Linked DNA regions of Yarrowia lipolytica. The protein of the gene in region 1 interacts with the protein of each later gene in a pairwise test. Links are inferred from orthologs where the notes say so. Each region holds a gene or a part of one and is shown on either strand. Other genes may lie near its edges. The genes, in order: YALI1_D27867g and YALI1_A12302g.

Region 1 (10,110 bases):
CCAATACTAAGCGAGGCACAAAAAATGTCTGTCAACTTGTTTATTCTCTTGCGCAGCTGTTTGAGCCAGTAGATGATGATTTTAAATCTGGTGAGAGATAAGGTTGGTCTCGAAACCTTATTTGAACCGATATTTGGAGAGATTTGAGCGGGTTATAATGAGAATATTTGTGTGACAATTGATAGCTATTGTTGTAATGTTGAAGTAATACCCAAGTCTAGTTTGGTCTGTGTCTTTTCCAGACTTCTCCAATGAAGTTTTCTGCAGTCACCACCACCTAAATTTAGTTACATTTTACTTGGGTTTGTAACCAGTACAGTTGAGGGTTGTGAGACTGAGATGAAGCGTCATAGTGCTAAACGGATATATAACACCAATATGAATCCAACGATGGGCCATATAACAGACTAAACGGTATTCTATCTGTTGTATACTCTGTTTTATACTACTCTTGTGGATTATGGAACCCTTACCGTGATTCCACTTTCAACTATGGTAAAGTGATGAACATGGTAGTTATCAAACATGGTATGAACATGGTACAGTACATACTGTAGTTATAAAACATGTAGTGATAAACAGGGTAAAGTGATGAAACAATGTCAAAATTAATATTACTCTGTTGTCCTAGCTCTGATGAACTGAACTATCAACTTCTCATCTTCCTAGCATCTCTGTGAGACGAATTGGATTCCACACGTTTGTAGATAGCAGCGACGTGTGCAGATATCAGCTGCTAAATATAAGAACCAGACACAAGCTCAGTCCAGAGATTTCTTCTAGAATCCTACGCAAGATAATGTATCATTCAATCCCACTTACAAATAATCATCTGATTGGTTCCCCACCCCTCCGTCTCAACTTCCCTTACAGTCAATTGTTGTGTTTCAGATCAACCCCTGTTTCACAGTTGGCTTTAGTTAACTCCGGAAGGCTCCACATAAACTGAAGCCAGACTACAAATCGCACTAGTGCTACAATCACGATTCAAAGAAGCCCAACTTGTTCACCACGGCAAATAAACCCTAACAATTGTTTCCCTGTTCTTTTATAGCCTCCAAATCCACTTGCACTATACACCTTCCTTTACCACCTCCCTCACTAGACTCTACTTAATCTTCAAGTGAAATTTCTTAACTCCGTTGTTGAACCCAAAAACCACCACTTAGTAAGCCACATCTGCCGCCTCACTCAAGGGAAATACACACAAAATGGGGATGCTCACTTTTGTCACCGTCGACCCGGTCTCACTCACCTACAAGCACTCGAGAAGAACAATTCCCATTCGGTCGCCAATGTCCGAAAAACCCTAACCCTACCACAAATAAGCCTTTGCCACTTCCTTGCACTGTGGGGTGAGTGGTGTGTCTCCACATACACGAGATAGAGAGACGTGGACGGAACGTCGAAAAAGCAGTGGTATCTACGACAACAGCAACCAGGCGATCACGTGACCCACGACCGAACGAAAGCACGTGACAGATCAATTTCAGAAGCCGCGTGAAACTCCACGCAAACCAGACGGGAACAGCAGACACACACACACACACACACACACAATAACGCACGATACTAACGATGCTCAAGCTATTTCGACGAAACAGTAAAGATGAAGCCAAAGGCCATCCGATGCTGGCCAACAACAACGGGCTGCCTGTGACCGACTCGCCACTGTCATCGTTTGCTGTGGGCGTTACGGAGGACAAAAACTCGCGGTGTAGACGGACCATGGAGGATTATCATGTGGCTGCACACAACATTTGCGGCACGCCCGATTCGGGGCTGTTTGCAGTATTTGACGGACATGCGGGCAAACAAGCGGCTGAGTACTGCGCAACGGCAGTTGTCAGTGAGGTGGAAAGTCTGATTATGGAGTCTGAGGGATTCAAAAGCGAAGACTCTGCAACCGAAGACCCTGAAGTCGTGCAGGAGGAGGGGCTGGAGCACCAGGACAATGACAAGAGCTCGAAGACTGTGCCAGAGCTGCTTAATCTTGCCTTCATGGCCATTGACCGGTCAATTGAGCAGAAGAACCTGAATTCCGGATGCACAGCAGCAGTGGCTCTGTTGAGATGGGAGGATTCTCGAGGAAAGCCCGTGACGGTGTCTTCTGATCACTCACCCAAGGACTACACTCCCGTGTTTCCCCGTGCTCCATTGTCCGAGTGCAAGCGCAAGCTGTACACTGCCAACGTGGGAGACACTCGGTTGATTTTGTGTCGAGCAGGCAAGGCCCTTAGGCTGAGCTACGATCACAAGGGCACCGATCTCCATGAGTCTAAACGAGTCACCAACAACGGCGGAATGATGATCAGCAATCGGGTCAACGGAATGCTTGCTGTTACCCGTGCTCTGGGAGACACGTATATGAAGCAGTTTATTATTGGTAACCCATACACGACCGAGACGGAAATCATTGCTGATGACGAGTTTCTGATTGTGGCTTGTGACGGACTGTGGGACGTTTGTGATGATCAGAAGGCTTGTGATCTGGTGAGTGGACTAGAAGATCCTGTTGAGGGAAGCCGAATACTGGTGGAGTTTGCTCTGGAGAACTTTAGCACAGATAATTTGACTGTGATGGTGGTGAAATTGCGATAAGTGACAAAGGCAGGGTGACGAAATAGCTGTGTTTGAAGCGCATGTCGGACAGCCTCCTCCGAGCTGTGTTCTTTTGAGGCTATCCTAGCAGTTTTTCTGAAAGCTGCCTGTATTTGTCTAACTGTGACCAACCATCAGGTCAGCTTCATCTGACTTCCTTGTCTGAGGTACAGCTTCAATCATACAACACAAAAGCTTCTGTTTCCATTCTTCAAGTCTTGCCCACTTGTTGATGGTATTCTTCGCACCTTTCATGCTCCTCGTTGGACCGAAAATGCTCCCCTTCATCACCGGAACCTGTATAGCCAATACACTAAGTTATTTGACTGTCATTGGAGTAGATCCTCCATTACTGAAGCAACAAGTACAAGTAATGATCTCTGGCAATTGTAGTCAGAAGCGGGATTATAAGTACAGTTGTATTGTGACTAAATTTCTCCAACAAGTCATCTCCCTGATCGTCTACCATGAACGGATGGATGGATGCTCAAGGTGTAAGACATGTCTCGATGAATGCCGTGGCAGGTGGCTGTCAGTGTATGGAATAGTCGGGTCTTTCCGTATCGACAGTGGCTTCGTTCTCAGTCTACAGTTATGTACCAAGTTACAAGCACTGTACTGTACATACTCGAACAAGTACAGTGCCTGTACGTTTGCCTTCTATAATTCACAATGTATATAAATAAATAAAACCGTCAATAGACGACATCGGATCACCGTCAGAACCTGACTTATTGATCATACGAGACGAAATCAAAGCCGTCCCCAAACAGCCCCTCCATATCGTCGTCTGCGATTCCCGTAGTGTTGCCTGCGTTGTTTCCGCCTCCGTTTTCTCCATCCGCCAGGAGGTTGGACAGCTCGTCGTCCATCATGATTCCGTCCTTGTTTCCGTCCTTGCCATCGCCTAGCATGGCGTTGATATCCACGTCGTTGCTGCCAAAGTCGTCGAATGCGCCGTCTAGGTCAATGGCGTGTGATGCGTCCATGCCATCGATGGTGAACTCCTTGGAGTCTTCCGTTTCCGCAGGCTCCGTCTTCACGGTCACCTCGGGCTCGGACTCGGTCTTGACCTTTTCATTCTGAACCAGCCCTAGCCGGTGCTTTTCGAGCTCCAGAAACTCCAGAGCTGACTCAATGTTGACACTCATGTGGTCCAATGCAGAGTTGAAGCCGGCCACAGACTTGTCCATTTGCGACTGCAGCAGCGTGGGAGGGTTGGGGAGAGGTTTCATGGGCACGCCCTGTTGACTAAGAAACGCCAGAAGGTGGCCAGCCCCCACGAGCACCTGTTTTGTGGTTTGCTGGATTTGTTCTTCCATTAGGAGTCGTTAGTTATGAGGGTCTCACTGTACTTGTGCCAGGGTAGAGACCTGTGAAAAGTTGTGTGGGTCGGAGTGTAGAAAGTTGTGTGGGTCGGAGTGGAGCAAGTTTGTGTCTGCTGGGCCGTTCTGTTTGCGTCAGGTCAAATATATCTTCTTGGAGCGATCGTGAGTCTTGGGTGTAACTGTTTATCATAAACCCTCTGCTCCATTAATGAACGACAATCTAATTTCTGCGTCTGCTTGTCTCTGGGAGTTGGGAGCTTGTTTGTTCGAATCTCGGTTGTGGTGAATATAATCGTCGAATAACAATGACGGTTGGAAGCCCCTGAGGTGTTGCTTGGAAGACTCGTACTCTTCCAAGCCCATTCAAGCCCATCCAAGCCCATCAAAGTGTGTTGTTACCCTCCTCAAAGCTCACATTCCAGCGTTCATGTTGTCATGAATGAGACTCATAGGCTTTGAAGGCGTACATGATCAGATCGATCTTACCTCAACGGCGTATCTTCAATGTGAGAACAAGTATGAGAAATGTCAGCTTGAGCTTGGAAATTCGCACCATGGTACAAGTCGTACTCGTACTGTACTGTACATACTCAAACAAGTATGCCCATATGAGCATGTGTGTTACAAGTATGCACGTACATACTGTACTTCCAGTAGTGACCAGAACAAGTATGTATCAGATGTCTCTACATCCAGTGATTGAGAGATCCGATTCAGAAGAAAATAGTACCATTATATTCCCCATGGCTAGGGGAATAGTTTAGTGTGATAATATCCACTCATTTCTCCCCAAAGGTCCTCCTTACCAGACCCTTCTAGCCAGCTCCGCTCCACATGCTCTGTTGATTTTGGGTTGGGACAGTTGAGAGTCAATTGCACCTAGCACCTAGAACCAGATCGTTGCGCCTGTGTTTAGAGTTTCGGACTTGGGAAGAGGGCTAGGGTTGCTCACGATTCCGCCGCTGATTGGCCACAACCTTTTCTCTCAAAACCCACCACGTTGAAAATACTCCCACTTTCAACACGACACCTTGCACTAACAACAACACAATGTTTTCTGTTGCTCGAACCGCCATCCGGGGTGCTGCCCGACCCGCCGTGCGAATTGCTCGACGAGGTTACGCCGAGACTGCTTCCGTCGACAAGCTTCGACTGACTCTCGCTCTTCCCCACGAGGTGAGTAATGTGGTGATGTGCTAACGACATGGAGGACGGGATGACACAGGCGACTGAGAACGTCCAGCGACACTGAGGAACCGAGACAATTGGTAGAAAATGACGACACAATTGAGGCTGCAATGCGAATTGACTGGGACAGAGGACATATAGTAGCGTGGTTTATTCGGTGTACCGAGTTATACAGACCGGTCAAGTCTGTGTGATGCGGTGGTGGTGGGAGGGAAGGAACGTGACTTGGCATGGCATGGCGTGGCGTGGCGCGTGGACTCTGCATGGTGGTGGAATTGGGTCGCAGGCAGCCGACTGGTCAATTGACCTTGTTTGTGCTCATGATCCACGCCACTGCCGGAAGCACAAGGAAACGCGGGAGACATCACCTCACATCACGACACCGTACCAACCACCCAATGTACAATGAACCACTCGCGAATTGAAGCTCCTCAAATGTTGTGATACCCAGCATTCCCTTTTGGCTCTGTTGCTGTCGACCCCAGGCGCCAGTATGTTCCAGTCGCGATGTCCGATCACACAAGGTCACAAAACTGGACGAACCTCATACTAACTCAGTCCATCTACAACCAGAAGGAGGTGACCCAGGTCAACATCCCTTCCACCGCTGGTGAGCTCGGTATTCTGGCTAACCACGTTCCCACCATCCAGCAGCTCAAGCCTGGTGTTGTCGAGGTCATTGAGACTAACGGTGAGACCAAGTCTTACTTCATCTCCGGTGGTTTCGCTACCGTTCAGCCCGACTCCGAGCTGTCCGTCAACTCCATTGAGGCTTTCCAGGCTGAGGACTTCTCCCCCGAGGCCATCAAGTCTCTGACCGCCGAGGCCCAGAAGAACGCCCAGTCTGCTGACGAGGCTGTTGCTGCTGAGGCCGAGATTGAGCTCGAGGTTCTTGAGGCTCTTGCCCACTTTGCCAAATAAGTTATGACATGATGAATCTGTAGACATAAAAGCGGCAACTTCCGTAACGTGTAATGACACCTGACGACTGTTTTTCGATTGAGACTGTATGGGGAGCTGTAGAGTGGTAGCATGGGTGTTCTAATAAATTGGAAAACGCCGCTGTAACCGGCTCTCTCAGGGCTATTTGTATCTCACTCCTCAACATGTCCGTTTTTATCGGCTCATCGTCGGCAACTGGGAGGTAAATTTGATTAACTTTTGGTCAGTCGGAAGGGAAATGTAAGGTGGTTGAGAAGGGGTTACAAAGTCGTGGAAACGTCGTGGAAAAGAGCCATGGTTTCATATATACCGTGGTATGACTGTCATGATCTCGTATATTAATTTTCATCTTACCACGACAAGTAATGGGTCGGTTGTGATCTGCTTTTTTTGAACCTAAACAAACTGCTCAACTAGTTTCCCTTTAGTACAAGTACAAGTACTTGCATTTGACGTCTACTTATGCATCTTGTTTGGCGTGTGTATATGATCCGAATCTGACAGCAGTGATTTTTGACGGGGAAAAGCAATCGATAACATGGCACCAAGAACAATAACTCTGGCTTCCCTTCTTTTCCCCCATTCTAATCGGTTCTATGACCGCGGAACGCCCAACACTGCCAGTTGACAACGCTATGAGCTGAAAACTCACGAGAGCTGAATCAGGTATTGTGCACTACTTGTGCTTTGGTATTATAGCACTAATGGACGACAGAATGACGCAATAGTTACCCGACTACAGCCCCAAGGTGGACATGGCTTGCCACTATGCCAGCCTCCATTGTACTCTCCACCATACTAAACAATGATGTATGGGTCTACAAGTGCAAGGGTGGGAGAGTGGAAGCTCTAATATGGAGCAAAAGGACCAAGTAGGAATCATATGAAGCGTCTTAACAATGCACATGGATCCTTTTTAGTCCTTTTGCTAATTCTGGTGTTGTTTTGGGGTCGTTTCCGCACTCGTAACACATTCAGGGGTCTCGTCTCTAGATGATATATGGATTGGCTAAAATTTTGCACAGCTCACAAACTTCTCTCCACTCGTGTTTATTCCCTATCTCCATAAATCCTTTCTTTTTGCCTATACTCTCTATTCCTTACATAGATTAGTGAGCAGGAGAGAATGTTTGTCCGACGCCAATGATGATGTTGGAGACGTAGAGTAACCGTCAAAAGACCATAGCGGTGAGTAGAGAAGACCAACAGTTCAGTAGACAAAAAAACCGCCCTTGAATTGTCACTTTTGGCGCTTCCTGCCCACATTGTCCCCCACAATTTCCCCCCCTACTTACCTCTTCCAAGTTGACATCCCCAGAACAGCATAAACTGCAGTTTGGTCGAGTAGTCCAAAATTTATGGTCGGTACTGGTGAGGGAGAGTCCTAACTGTCAAGATGGTACATAAACCCGAGTGTTTTCCGAGTGGAGGATTCCCAAAATTTCCCTTTCGAGTCTACCATGTCTTCCGTCTCTTCCGAATGCCAGGGCCTGTCCTCCATTTCCGAAGCCTCTTTTTCCGAGGCCTCTTCCTCCAAGCCCGTCTATGTCTCCACCGCTTGCGGTTCTGACGATCCCATTACTGCCGACGACCTCTTTGGCGAGCCCCAGTCTGTCCCGATCTCTCCAAGTGAGTTGTTTATGAGCAGCTCTTCTAACCAAAGTCCTAACAACGACTTTGAAGAAGAGGCACCCAAAAGCTCCACCTCTCGATATGCTCTCCCAGACGAGTCTCCTAATGGCTATCAGACCCAGTCGACCTTCAACTCGTTTGTGAACCTGTTTCGCCTCAAGAAGGATCCGCCGACAACTCTGCCACTGGCGTCTCTGACAAGTACGAGGGGTCATAGGATGGACACTCCAAGTCCAACGCCTCCAGAGGTAGCCAGACTGAGAGCCGTGCCCCACTCATCGACTTACTCGTCTGAGTCGTCGCTCAACTCATCAACAACCCGGATCTCATCCTCCAGGTCCTCCGATGACGCCTCCACAGTCGATGGAAAGACCACACGCGCTACCCAGACGGACCAGATCTACGCGGGAGACTCGGGAATCATTCTCTCGACTTCCATAACATCTTCCCAGAGCTCTCAAGAACACTTTCGAGAACGATGTCGACGGTCTAACTGTGTCACATATATTGTCCAGTGGGACACAGAGAACGACCCCAGGTACCCATTCAACTGGCCCAACTACAAAAAGTACCTGGTTGTTGCTTCCCAGGCCCTATCTGCTATTGGCCCGCAAATGTGCAGCTCCATGTACGGACCAGCCGTTGCAAAGATCGAAGAGATGTTTGGAGTCGGTAAAGATGTCGCCATGCTCAGTACCACCGTCTACATGATGGGTATTGCTGTTGGGCCCATGTTCTGCGCGCCCATGACCGAGTCATTTGGCCGGAAGATTGGCGTCTTCTGGCCCTTCTTCGTCTCGCTCATCTTCACCTTTCTGACCGTCTCCGTCACCTCCTTCCCCACCTTTATGGTACTGCGATTCCTCTCTGGAGCTCTGTCTTCGCCTCCCATCCTGTCGTCCGGAGGAGCTCTCAAGGATATGTTCAAGCCCGAGCGACGGCCGTACGTGTTGCTTCTGTACGCCATTATTGTCGCTGGCGGCCCAGCCATGGGTCCCATTCTCGGCTCTCAGGTCATCAAGTGGACCGGCGACTTCAGACACTTGTCGCTCGTGGCCGGTATCTACCAACTCATCATTTGCACCTCCAACCTCATCTTCATGCCCGAGACTTACGCCCCTGTGATTCTGCAAAAGATTGTGCGGAACTTCAGTCTGGATGCCGGCGGACTGAGAAACCTGGTGACAGAACGAGACCTCGGAGGCCATGCCCGTGGTTTCTCAGTCAAGAACCTGTTGAGACCCTACCAAATCATGCTCACCCCGGTCATGCTGCCGCTGCAGATGTACGCCGCCATGATGTTCGGACTCATGTACATGGCCATCTCGCTGGTGCCCAACGCAGTCGTCAAGGAACACAACTGGACCCGAGACCGAGCGGCCTGGATCAACCTCAACTTCATTGCCGGCCTCATATGCGCCTCTGGAGGTATCGTCTGGTCAATCTGGTACTTCAACCGGATGCTCAAGAAGCACGGAGGAAGCAATAAGGAGCCCGAAAAGCGGCTCCTGATCATGCTGCCGGGGTCCCTGTTCCCTCCTATTGGATGCTTTCTGTGTTACTTCTTCTTTGACAAGACCTGGGCAATTTCGGTCGTGCTGCTTCTGTTCCTCGGTATCGGATTCTTCACCATTTTCCAGTCCACCCTCAACTACGTTGTTGACATCCACTCGGAGTACTCGGCCTCAGCTGTGTCTGCTCTGACGTTTCTGCGGTCCATTTTCGCCGGCGTCTTGCCATTTATCGGCATGGCGGCCATCGAGCGGGTCTCTTTTGCCAAGCTGTGTTTCATTCTGGGCTTCATCACGACCGCAATGTGCGCTGTGCCGTGGTTCATTTTCAAATGGGGGCCTGGCCTGCGAGCGAGATCTGCTTTTGTTGACGTTTAGTGTCCAGCTAAGTAGATGTCAAGTGTAAGACGAAGACTGGTCAGAAAGAGACAGACGTTCTAACAAAACCCAACAAAAAACAACAAACATTAATCAACTGTGAAAATCCGCATAGAAACCAGCATAATCAACATAAAACATATAGCCCCAAATCAAATCAAATAGAATACTACTAGTAATACACTGTGAATTGTATTCTGGCTTGTAATATTACAAGAGAGAATAAATATACACCACTACGGTGTATATCAGTGAAGCAACATGTCTGAATAACTACGAGTAGTAGCACTGGTGGCTTGCATGGTGCTTGGATATCTAGATGGCCCTACGACACCAATTGTGCTTCCAGAGGACCGAAACTCCGGAAATCAATTGCAAAGAATCCTATAAACATTGTGCAAAAATCTGATGAAAAAAAAGTTCCTCTAAGCTGGTCGGTCCTCATCCCTCTTTCTCACCCCACGCCATCTGCATGCAGAGTAAATAGTGCAGAACCTCCGAAACACATCACACCATTCATCTCGCTCAAT
Region 2 (9,695 bases), on another chromosome or scaffold:
TTCTATTTTTTCCTACTTTTCACATCCCCCCTAACCCCCTCCTGCCATAGTACAGCGCTAGCGTCCTGTGGTAAAATGGACCCTACAGTGCAGCACAGACGCTGGTAATATCATTACACTCCGCCATTAATTAGCACTTAACCTGTCTCTCCTCCCAACCTGGTGCGCATCTTTTTGCAGGTATAAAACTTGTGTGTCATCATCACCATCGGCTCTTACTCTCCTCTTCTCCTCACCATCACTTTCCCCAACACCAAAAACACCAAAAACACCAAAAACAAACACACCACACAAACCACCACAAAACATCTGCATGATGGGCTCCGTGGTACCGCTCAGTTCGCCCGCTTGGGACCTCAATCTGTCCGCGGGACAAAACCTCCTGGGCCATGGCTCGCCCACCCCCTCACACAGCCGCAAACGCCGTCTGTCGGTGACTCCGGAAGCCGGCGACAGCCACATGGAGCACGAGTCACCTTCCAAGCCACGTCAGCAGTCGCCGTTTGTACACAAGCGGGCGCGGGTCACACGGCAACTGCAGTCACGGCCGCTGCCCATGTCGCGGCTGCTGTCGTCGCTGGACCAGAAGACGCTGGTGTCGCTGCTGGAGGGCATCTGTGCTCAGGACGACCGGGTGGCGCGCCAGGTGATGGAAGTGACGCCCAAGCCCACAGTTTCGTCGGCCATGGACGTTCTGTCGCGAGCGCTCGACCAGGCGTTTGCATTGTTCCCCTACAAGGGCGACCACCAGAACGACTACGCCTTCTTCCGGGTGCGTCCGGCGCTGGAGGAGTTCCTGGCCGAGCTCAGCGACTACCTGTCACACTTTCTGCCGCCCAACGAAACCCAGGTGTCCAACTCCTTTGCATTTCTGGACCAGGCCACGTCGCTGGTGCACCGCATGCCCCAGTGGTCCAGCCCCGCCAACAACCGCCTCAAGGAAGAGACGTACGAACACATTGACGTGGCATGGACCCTGGTGTGCGAGGAGGCCGCCAAGCGCCAGAGAGGCTCACTGGCCATGTCCGGTGTGGGCAACTGGCTCATCCGGCTCGAAAAACACAACGAGCTGTCGGGCGACCGTCTCAAGACGTCGCTGCATCTCCTCAGGGACATGCTTGACGACCAGGGCTACCGGCCCCCCAACCCCTTTGCTTCATTCAACGGCGCCCAGCAGCTTTTCACGGTCTAACGAAGATACACAAGCACCACATATTTATTGCATTACACGGTCTACAGGAATGGCTAGGATATATATAGGAAAGAATTATGAGAACATGTAGTGGGTAGTTTTGTAGTGAGTAGTTTTGGTAGTGTTTGGAGGTTGCCTATTGTGTGGCAAATTTCTGCGACATTTGAGATGCGGGTGAGTGGTAGTACGGTAAAGAGTGAGTGGGAGTAGGAGTGCGATTCGATTTGACATATGAGTGTACAATAGGAATGTACGATAGGGGCGTAGATACAAGTACAATGCGAGTATCTGTATGATATGAGTGTCTGTACGATACAAGTGCTGTATTGTACTGGGTCGTACATACTGTATCGTACTTGGTTGCTTGTAGCATGATCATTCAGTATCTACAAGTATAAGTACTTGGCTTACTCTCATACTTATACTAGGATACATCTTACACGACACTTTTTCTTCACTCTGTTTTTGCCGGTTCCTTCCTCCAGACACTCCAACAATGCCTCTGCGGATCTCGTGATCCCGTGATTGGTTACTCGTCCAGAATTCGATGTCCTTTTAGCACCGGGTGGATTGGTGCCGGGCTGGCTTGGTTCTCGGCTCAACTCGGCTCAAGTTGGTTGTCGGTCTCGACTTGGTTCGACTTAGTTCGACTTGGTACAACTCGGTTCGTGACTGTTCATTAAACGTGGCATGTTGTTGGAAGAAACGAACAGACCTGGGGCCGATATGGCATTACTGTGAAGAGTACAGTTGTGAAGAAGTCGTGCGACAGTTTCGAGTCATGTCTGACTGCTGCAACTTCCACGCACATTTGGAGCGTGGCATTCGTTTCTTGTCGTGTCTCGGGATTGACGCTTTTGTCATTGTTCGACCTTTTTCTCCTCCGGATCGTCCGCTAGATCGTTGGCAAGAGTTCGCCCTCTGGCACTTTCGACTCCATCGTCGGGGTGCCAGACTGGTGATGGCTGGATGATCCAGGACTGGGGGCAGCGGTTGAGTTGCTAAGAAACTGGACTGAACCAGAGTGTGGACCAGAAATGATACTGGAGCCGACTAGAGACTGGACACGAAAGGATACGAGATGGATCCGACTGTCGACTCCGACACCCACGAAAGCGAGATATCAGAGGCATGTTCCCACTGACCGCTGCTAAAGACTTGGTTGTCCCCCACTCATGAGTAACTGGAGATGATGAACGCACCACCCCCACCGAATCAAACAAGGTCCGAGAGTGAAACGGAAAGCTGCTCACTGACTGGAGGGACGGTTATAGGGGTCCTCATACGCTTCTTCTGCCATGATTACGAGGTCTCCACGATGATATCGTCAACCTCGTAAGATGAGAAACTTCGACTAGTGGATGACTGTATGGAGATTTCCCCTGTGATCAAACTGTTCCAATAGCCAGGAACCTCTCGAGTTTACCCTACAAGTCCTGCTTCCACTGTCATCGATGCACACCAAAGGATACAAAGGTGTCTGAAGCTCCTGTCAAATGTCAAATGAGATCGTGGGGTCTTGGGTCAGTGTCGTTTGGCAAAGTCCACCTTCAAGTACGTGTGGACCAAGAGACTTTGTTCAGAGAGCATCTAGACCAAATAATACCCTTCCAGAGACAACTTGATCCCCTCAACTTTCGGACTGTCGTATCCGAGGGACAAGGACAAGTCCGGTGCGAGCTGAAAGTCGACCAAGACTTCGCTTAGCGTCTGGAGATAATTATCATTGACACAAACCTGGACCTCGCATCCAACAAACATTGTGAGAACTGCGGGTGAAGTTCTTGCTTCTAGGTAAGTTACTCTTTTCACAACATTTCTTCGAAATCACAGCTGCCAGCAATTCCAGCTTTAACTGTCTGCAAAATGACCAAAGCTATACGATCAAGCGCCATGTCTGCCTTCTCTCCTGCTTGATCTTGTCTTTCTGCGACTACAGTACAACTACTACACACTCTTGTCGTACTCGGCAGACTCTCGTTGAAGAGTAACAGCACCTTAGAGCTTCCCCCTCTCTACAGATGCTCGCACTAGAACAGTGAGAGGTCAAAAGTTGATGAACCATTAGACCTGCTTCAACGGAGATTGACAAGAAGACGAAAGGATTTAGAACACTTGTCCATGACTGAATCTCCAACACCCTATACTCTACAATTAGGGAGAGATAACTCATCCTGAAGAGATGTCCGACCAAATATGGATACGGTCCTAGGAACATGTCTCAGGATCAGTATAATGGACGAAGGAGAATGGGCTTGAAGAAGGCGAACTGGTCAAGTCGGAACTTGCACTGTGTACTTGGTGGCAGAGACTTAGTTGGGGGTAGAGCTTGGTTACTTGTTGGTGGAGATTGGGTACGGTACAGTAGGTACTTGGTAGTAGAACTTGGGTGCTTGTTGGTAGACTGGATACTTGGTTGAACTAAAGCACCAAGAGTGCCAAAAGAGTGCTGAAACGCGAACGCCATACCGCACCTCGGCACCAACCCACCACCTACAGTTCACGGATAAAAATACACATACATCATTATGGATACATCAATTGGCAGGTCCCGGCATCTACTGCAGGTAAAGATGTCGCTTGGCAGCCATCTCAACGGCAGCAGCTCCCCAGTCCTCTCCGTGGTTGTGTCCATCAGGAGTGAGACCAGCTCGCTGAAGAGCCTGCTCCTCGGTCAGACAGGTGAGCACGCCGAAAATGACGGGGGTCTTGGTGGCGATCTGGGATTGCATGAGGCCCTGGGAAACGGCGTCGGCAATGTACTCAAAGTGCATGGTGGAGCCCTTGATGAGCACGCCGATGGAGATGACAGCGTCGTACTTGTGCGAGTCTGCCATCAGGTGGGTGATGTAGGGCAGCTCGTACGAGCCGGGCACAGACTCGATGAAAATGTTCTCTCGCTTGACCTTGAAGCCGCACAGAGAAGAGATGGTTCCGTCGAGCAGAGCCTTGATCACCTGCTCGTTCCATCGCGCGTGCACAATGGCGATCTTGAAGTCGGAGCCGTCGTAAATGGCGTCAGAAGCGCCAACACCCTTAATAGTACAGTCGGTCATTTTCAGTTGGTACAAAGTGCTGTGTGTGAGTGTGTGTTTTGGGGGTGGTGATGATGATACAGGGAGATCTGGGCCAACCCAATTGTAACCGCGTCTGCTGCATGACTGACAAATACCCGGGAGTTTGATTAGTCATCCAAAACGGCCCCGAAAACGGCCATTTTTCCGCCCAACCCTGTGTTTGGGCTCCAATGGCCAATAAACGAGTCGGATTTTTCGGTCTTTCCTCTCTCACACGCTCAGAACCACGATTATCGCTATCGACTGTTTTTTTCAGCTCCCATTTTTGTCTCAGGGTTAGGTTCGAGACATTCGTTTAGCCTCGGTCCTATGATCATCAGACTCAATTACAGTAATCTCAGAGATAAGAAAGAGCAACTGAGAGCGTGCTAGCTGTTGTCGCGCGCCGCTCAGGCTCCAAATGGCTGAGTAAGCCATCTCAGCCGTTTTCTCGGACCATTCCACCCGGCCTTACCCGCGAAACTTCATGCTCCAACATGGAACACTCTTGGCAGATTGTCCCGGCCTCCACCAAACACGACAAATGTACGCCCAGCCTCGCCGGACATTGTCATGAAACTCAATCCAACAATGCCATAGTTCGGTATCTTCCCGTGGCCTTCTTTCTGTGGCGATGGCTGACTGGCGGCAGCAAGTCGGAGACGAGACCTGCGCATACGATACCGTACAGCATGCACCAGACTCTGTACGGTGCAATACCGGCTCTGTACGGTGCAATACCGGCTCTGTACGGTGCAATACGGCTTTGTATGTACGGTTTTGAAGAGACTGAAACAGCGCCGGTTCAGGGACTCTGGGTACAATGAGACATGTTGCAGTGTTTGGGGTTTGAAACGAGTTGCGACATAGTACGAGTACAAGTACAAGTGCACATTTGCTCCAAGTTCTTGTACAAGTACAAACTTGTAGGACGTGAATGTCGATCTAACTGCGGGAAACGTATCGTGGCAACGGCTCAGCTTGTATAGTGTATGATACCTGGATGTACCGGTACAACTATGTACTGACCAGACTGTTCATCTTCACCACAGCAAAATGAGATTGCACACATCCTTCAGAATGAAACAATCAGTTGACATCTCTGGCATTCACATTCAAAAGCGCATATATGGACACCAGCTCGGAGTCAGGTCACGTGACCAGCAACCTTGTAGAGCCGTTCTGTTATTATACAAAAAAATTAAAAAATTAAAAATTAAAAAAATTAAAAAAAATGCGAGGTGAAATATTCGGGGGAAATAAAGTTTTTGTCAGGTGAAATTCAGAAAAACGAATCAACTGAGCTCACCGGTTCGTACGTCGGTTGAGAGTGTTGCTAACGACTCTGGAAGTCACAGATGACTGTTTTTCGAAGTGATCATCATATCATCGTATCAACTTTGGCACATGTTGGATCCGTTCGGGGAACCTCATCTGGCAACCTTATTTTCAATATATCTCCGTTATCAATGGGGAGTAGAGATATTGTAAATCTAACAACATTTTGGTATTTGCCAGGAGGTTAGGATTATTTTGATACCAATTTTGGACCAAATCGTCAGACCGTTGTATATCCAGCGCCATTTCTACCGTAATGTCGTATGTAAAACACGTCCCTAACCCCCGACGTTGAATTACCTTGAAAAACCTGACCCAACAGGCTGATTTGCATATCTACTACAGTAGCTGGACGCCACCAGCTCCGTGGTCCTGCTGACTAATCAAAAAGCCAAAACCCACATCAACCTTATCAAAATATTTTTTTCAGGCTGCAGGAAAATCTCGACTATTACGCACAAGATACACAACAACAACCATGAGCGAAATCAAGACAGTGACCGTGGAGAAGCCCGTGCCCGTGACGTACGATCTGGGCAACCTTGCAGTATTCGACACAAATCCCGTGGAGGTGGATCTAAACGACCTGAACGTGGACGGCCAGGCCCGAGAGGAGGCTCTCCAAGCCGTGTCTCGAGATAATGCCCAGCTGCTCATCAACCAGCTTCTGTCACAACCCATCAAGAACACCACGGACTCTAATTCGTCCAGCGGCAACCAGAACTCCACCATGTCTCTGATCATGCTGCCACAGCCGTCCACACGTCTCCCTCGAGAGAAGCCCATTCCCAAGCCCAAGGCCATGACCAAGTGGCAAGAGTTTGCTCTCAAGAAGGGCATCAAGTCCAAGGCCCGGGATGGCAAGCTTGTGTACGACGAGGCCACCGGCAAGTGGGTGCCCAAGTGGGGTTTCAACGGAAAGAACAAGGAGCTCGACCAGCAGTGGTGTGTTGAGGTGGACGATGGTAAGGGATCCAAGAAGAACCAGGAGGACGTTATGCTCGATCCTCGAGCTCTGGACCGAGCTTCTCGAAAGAAGCTGGTCAAGAAGAACCAGAAGCAGCATGAGCGAAACCTCAAGCGGGGCGTTTCGAAATAGGTGGAAAAATAGACTAATTATATTTTGATCATTAAGCGGGTAGGCGATAGCAGTTGTTTGGTGGATGTAACGTACTTGTACAAGTTCAATGCGGTAGTTATGACTGATCTAGCGGTGTATGTTGTCGTAGTTCAACCTCTGTGACTGAGGTTAGTTCTATCGAGTGTAGTTGACTGGGACTGACGACTGGAGATGTTGCTAATGCTTGAACGTTGACTGCGAGTGCGAGTACAGTACGGATACTTTGCACAATAGATGTATAGCCCACTCGAGTCGATTGTAGCAGTCATCTGTCTCGTAAACTGCTGGAGACCATCCAAACATGCATCTCTCAATCCAGAAGTAACAGAATAGCACGAACACGAACAGTACGAACAGTACCGATACTGGAAATCGTGTTTGTTGGTAACGTCTGGGATTGACACTCCGATCAAACGCCGTTATCCGGTAGTTCAAATCACTTGGTCGGCGTTCTGTGCAAAACTGCTTGTGCTGTACAACATACTTATCATCTGATAGTTCCACACAGTGGAAGGGGTGAATGTGGATTCTGACAAGACCATTCACATGATTGTTTTTCCATAGAATAGTTATCTTTCATCTCCGAAGACATGTCCCATGGAGAATGGTAGGCAGAGTTCTGGGTGAGAGAGAAAGACATCCAGATCTACCGTAATTCTTTAAATGTTGAGATCATTTTAATTAATAGGTTTTACTCTGGAAATAAATCTTTATCCTGTCAATTTTCAGCCCTTTTCTTCGTTTTTTCTCCGAATTTCCTCACTTTTCCCATTTATTCCAATTTCCCAACCTGATCATATATTTTTTCCAATCTCCACCAATTTTTTGATCCAATTTTTAGTCCACAATGACCCAATAATGGCCTAACAATGGCCTAAAAAGGACCCCCGACCCAATAATGACCCAATAATGACCCTAAAAATGACCCTAAAAATGACCTATAAAAATGACCTAAAAATGACCCAATAATCTAACTGTACCTCCCAATAGTGGATGTACTGTAAAGCAGTGCACAAGCGACAACAAAACACCTAATGACCACACAAAACAGGCTAGAATCGCGACTAGAGGACCGTTTTCCGTCAAATTTCGAGCACAGAACCAACCGAGTATTTCCAACGCCACCAAAAACCAACATGTCCTAAAATATTACGAAAAACAATGGCGGAAATCATTGCTGATACCCAGACGAACCCCGCATATTTTTTTATTTTTTTTCTGCAATATACTTCATATTAAATTATAACTTTGCTGTTGAAAGGAATAAACCTTTGAAATGAATGTAACGCTTACACGAATATTACTAATTAAACACGTTTTAGTGTCATGGTTCCAACTTGGCCACGTAACTATTTCCAGTAAAAAAATCATAAAAAAACCTGTCGTTCAGTTCCGTGTTTGTATGTTGGTCCACATAGCTTCGCGTGTTTGTTCGTTCATCGGGAAAACGCCACTCCAGTCTCCAGTTCTCTAATCTCAATCCTTCCATTGCCCTCTTCGTTTGCATTGCCTTTGAAAACGTCTCCTTGTGGTTCTTCTTCGTCATTGGTTTGGTTCTGCGTCCCCTGTGGTGTGACTACGCGCCCTGCTACTGCTCTTTTCTTCGGGTGGCCTCGGCCGCCTTTTACGCTTGCTACTTCTTATTGCCACCCTAACGATTAACCTACAAGTGCAGTATCACTGACTATCATTACCAGGGCTTTTACTGTTCACACCCACACTACAGTTCAGGTTATCCCCTCATATAGCTATACCCTGAGTACCGGAGGGGATCTCTCCATCTTCCAGATCCCATAAGCCAATTCCCGCAGATATTTGCGTGTCTTGGCATATATTGGAATGTTTTAGTTTGGGATGTGTAAATAAATACAATAATAGCCTTTTCGAGCTTCAATGGTAGATGTATAATTGAGGAGATTGGACGCTGCAAATGGACGGAAAAAGGAAATTTCGAGCTACAAATAACGCTGAAACTGGTTATGTAAGCTATATGCGTCGTTTGTCTGTCATATTCCTGTCTCAATGATCTGTTTTCACGACGTTATCGTCCTGCCCCCATTTTAATACCCAAACAAAGACCCGAACCCAATACTTTATTCACCACAGCCTTTCGAATATAAATAGGCGTCCAGTCCCAGTTTTTTGGCGGCACCTTTGACCACGCGTGTCATCGTGTCCCTTGGGGGCAACCCCTCCATTGAACCCTGCGAAAGCAGTTTTTTTTTTTTTGATTCGCATCCGAAATCAAACAGACCGGCTCCGGCCAACCCCAGAAACGGCTCGGCCAACCCCAGAAACGGCTCCGGGCCAACCCCAGAAAACGGCTCCGGCCAACCCCAGAAACGGCTCCGGCCACGAACCCCAAGAAACGGCTCCGGCCACGAACCCCCAAAAAACGGCTCCGGCCAACGAACCCCAAAAACGGCTCCGGCCATGAACCCCAAAAAACGGCTCCGGCCACAAACCGATAGTCATTCAGTTGATCTGTCAAAACGATAGGGTGTGAGCGCTACCTCAAAAGCCAAAAATCGCTACCCAAGTGCAAGTTAAGATGTGGTTTGATAGCTCGGGTGATTAAGTCTTCGATCAGGTTTTCTAGGTGTCCCTGTTAAAACCCCTAGGATGATTTTTAGTTGTCAAACGTCTTAAAATGCGGCTGTCCTGATGGAGACTACGTGATTATGACTAGCGTCGAAACACTTACCATCGAGAGAAGATGGTGGTGTAGACAGCCCCTAGTCTTACATAGTAATATATTGTACGAGTACCAGTTCCAAAGTACAAGTAGTTCACTCGGTGTTGTTCTGAAATTGTATAATTCAGAGTCGTGCAGACAAGTGCATCATTGCATAACTAAGAAGTCGAACTGTTTCTACACTCCATGGGTTTTGCCTTGAACTCGCAATATCAGATATCCGCCCTTTCACATGGTCTCGTTGATATGGCTCCGTTGACCCGTATAATATCCAATACAATCGTGTTTCACATC

Evidence for each region.
Region 2: the proteins of YALI1_D27867g (region 1) and YALI1_A12302g interact in a two-hybrid assay, tested with the Schizosaccharomyces pombe proteins (2 studies listed by BioGRID). The link is inferred for Yarrowia lipolytica from reciprocal best matches to the Schizosaccharomyces pombe genes ptc1 and rrs1.

Annotation. Positions count from the first base shown.
Region 1 is NC_090773.1:2,778,166-2,788,275, reverse strand, and holds YALI1_D27867g (uncharacterized protein), read left to right. Parts: upstream 1-1,578; coding exon 1,579-2,601; downstream 2,602-10,110. Other genes in the region: YALI1_D27844g (uncharacterized protein), read right to left, coding at 3,333-3,923; YALI1_D27826g (uncharacterized protein), read left to right, coding at 4,980-5,105, 5,676-6,038; YALI1_D27808g (uncharacterized protein), read left to right, coding at 7,520-9,580. UniProt on the Schizosaccharomyces pombe protein: Serine and threonine phosphatase. Has a specialized role in the heat shock response. May be responsible for the dephosphorylation of hsp90.
Region 2 is NC_090770.1:1,224,206-1,233,900, forward strand, and holds YALI1_A12302g (uncharacterized protein), read left to right. Parts: upstream 1-6,064; coding exon 6,065-6,685; downstream 6,686-9,695. Other genes in the region: YALI1_A12245g (uncharacterized protein), read left to right, coding at 314-1,192; YALI1_A12284g (uncharacterized protein), read right to left, coding at 3,751-4,248; YALI1_A12294g (uncharacterized protein), read right to left, coding at 4,734-5,247, 5,296-5,357.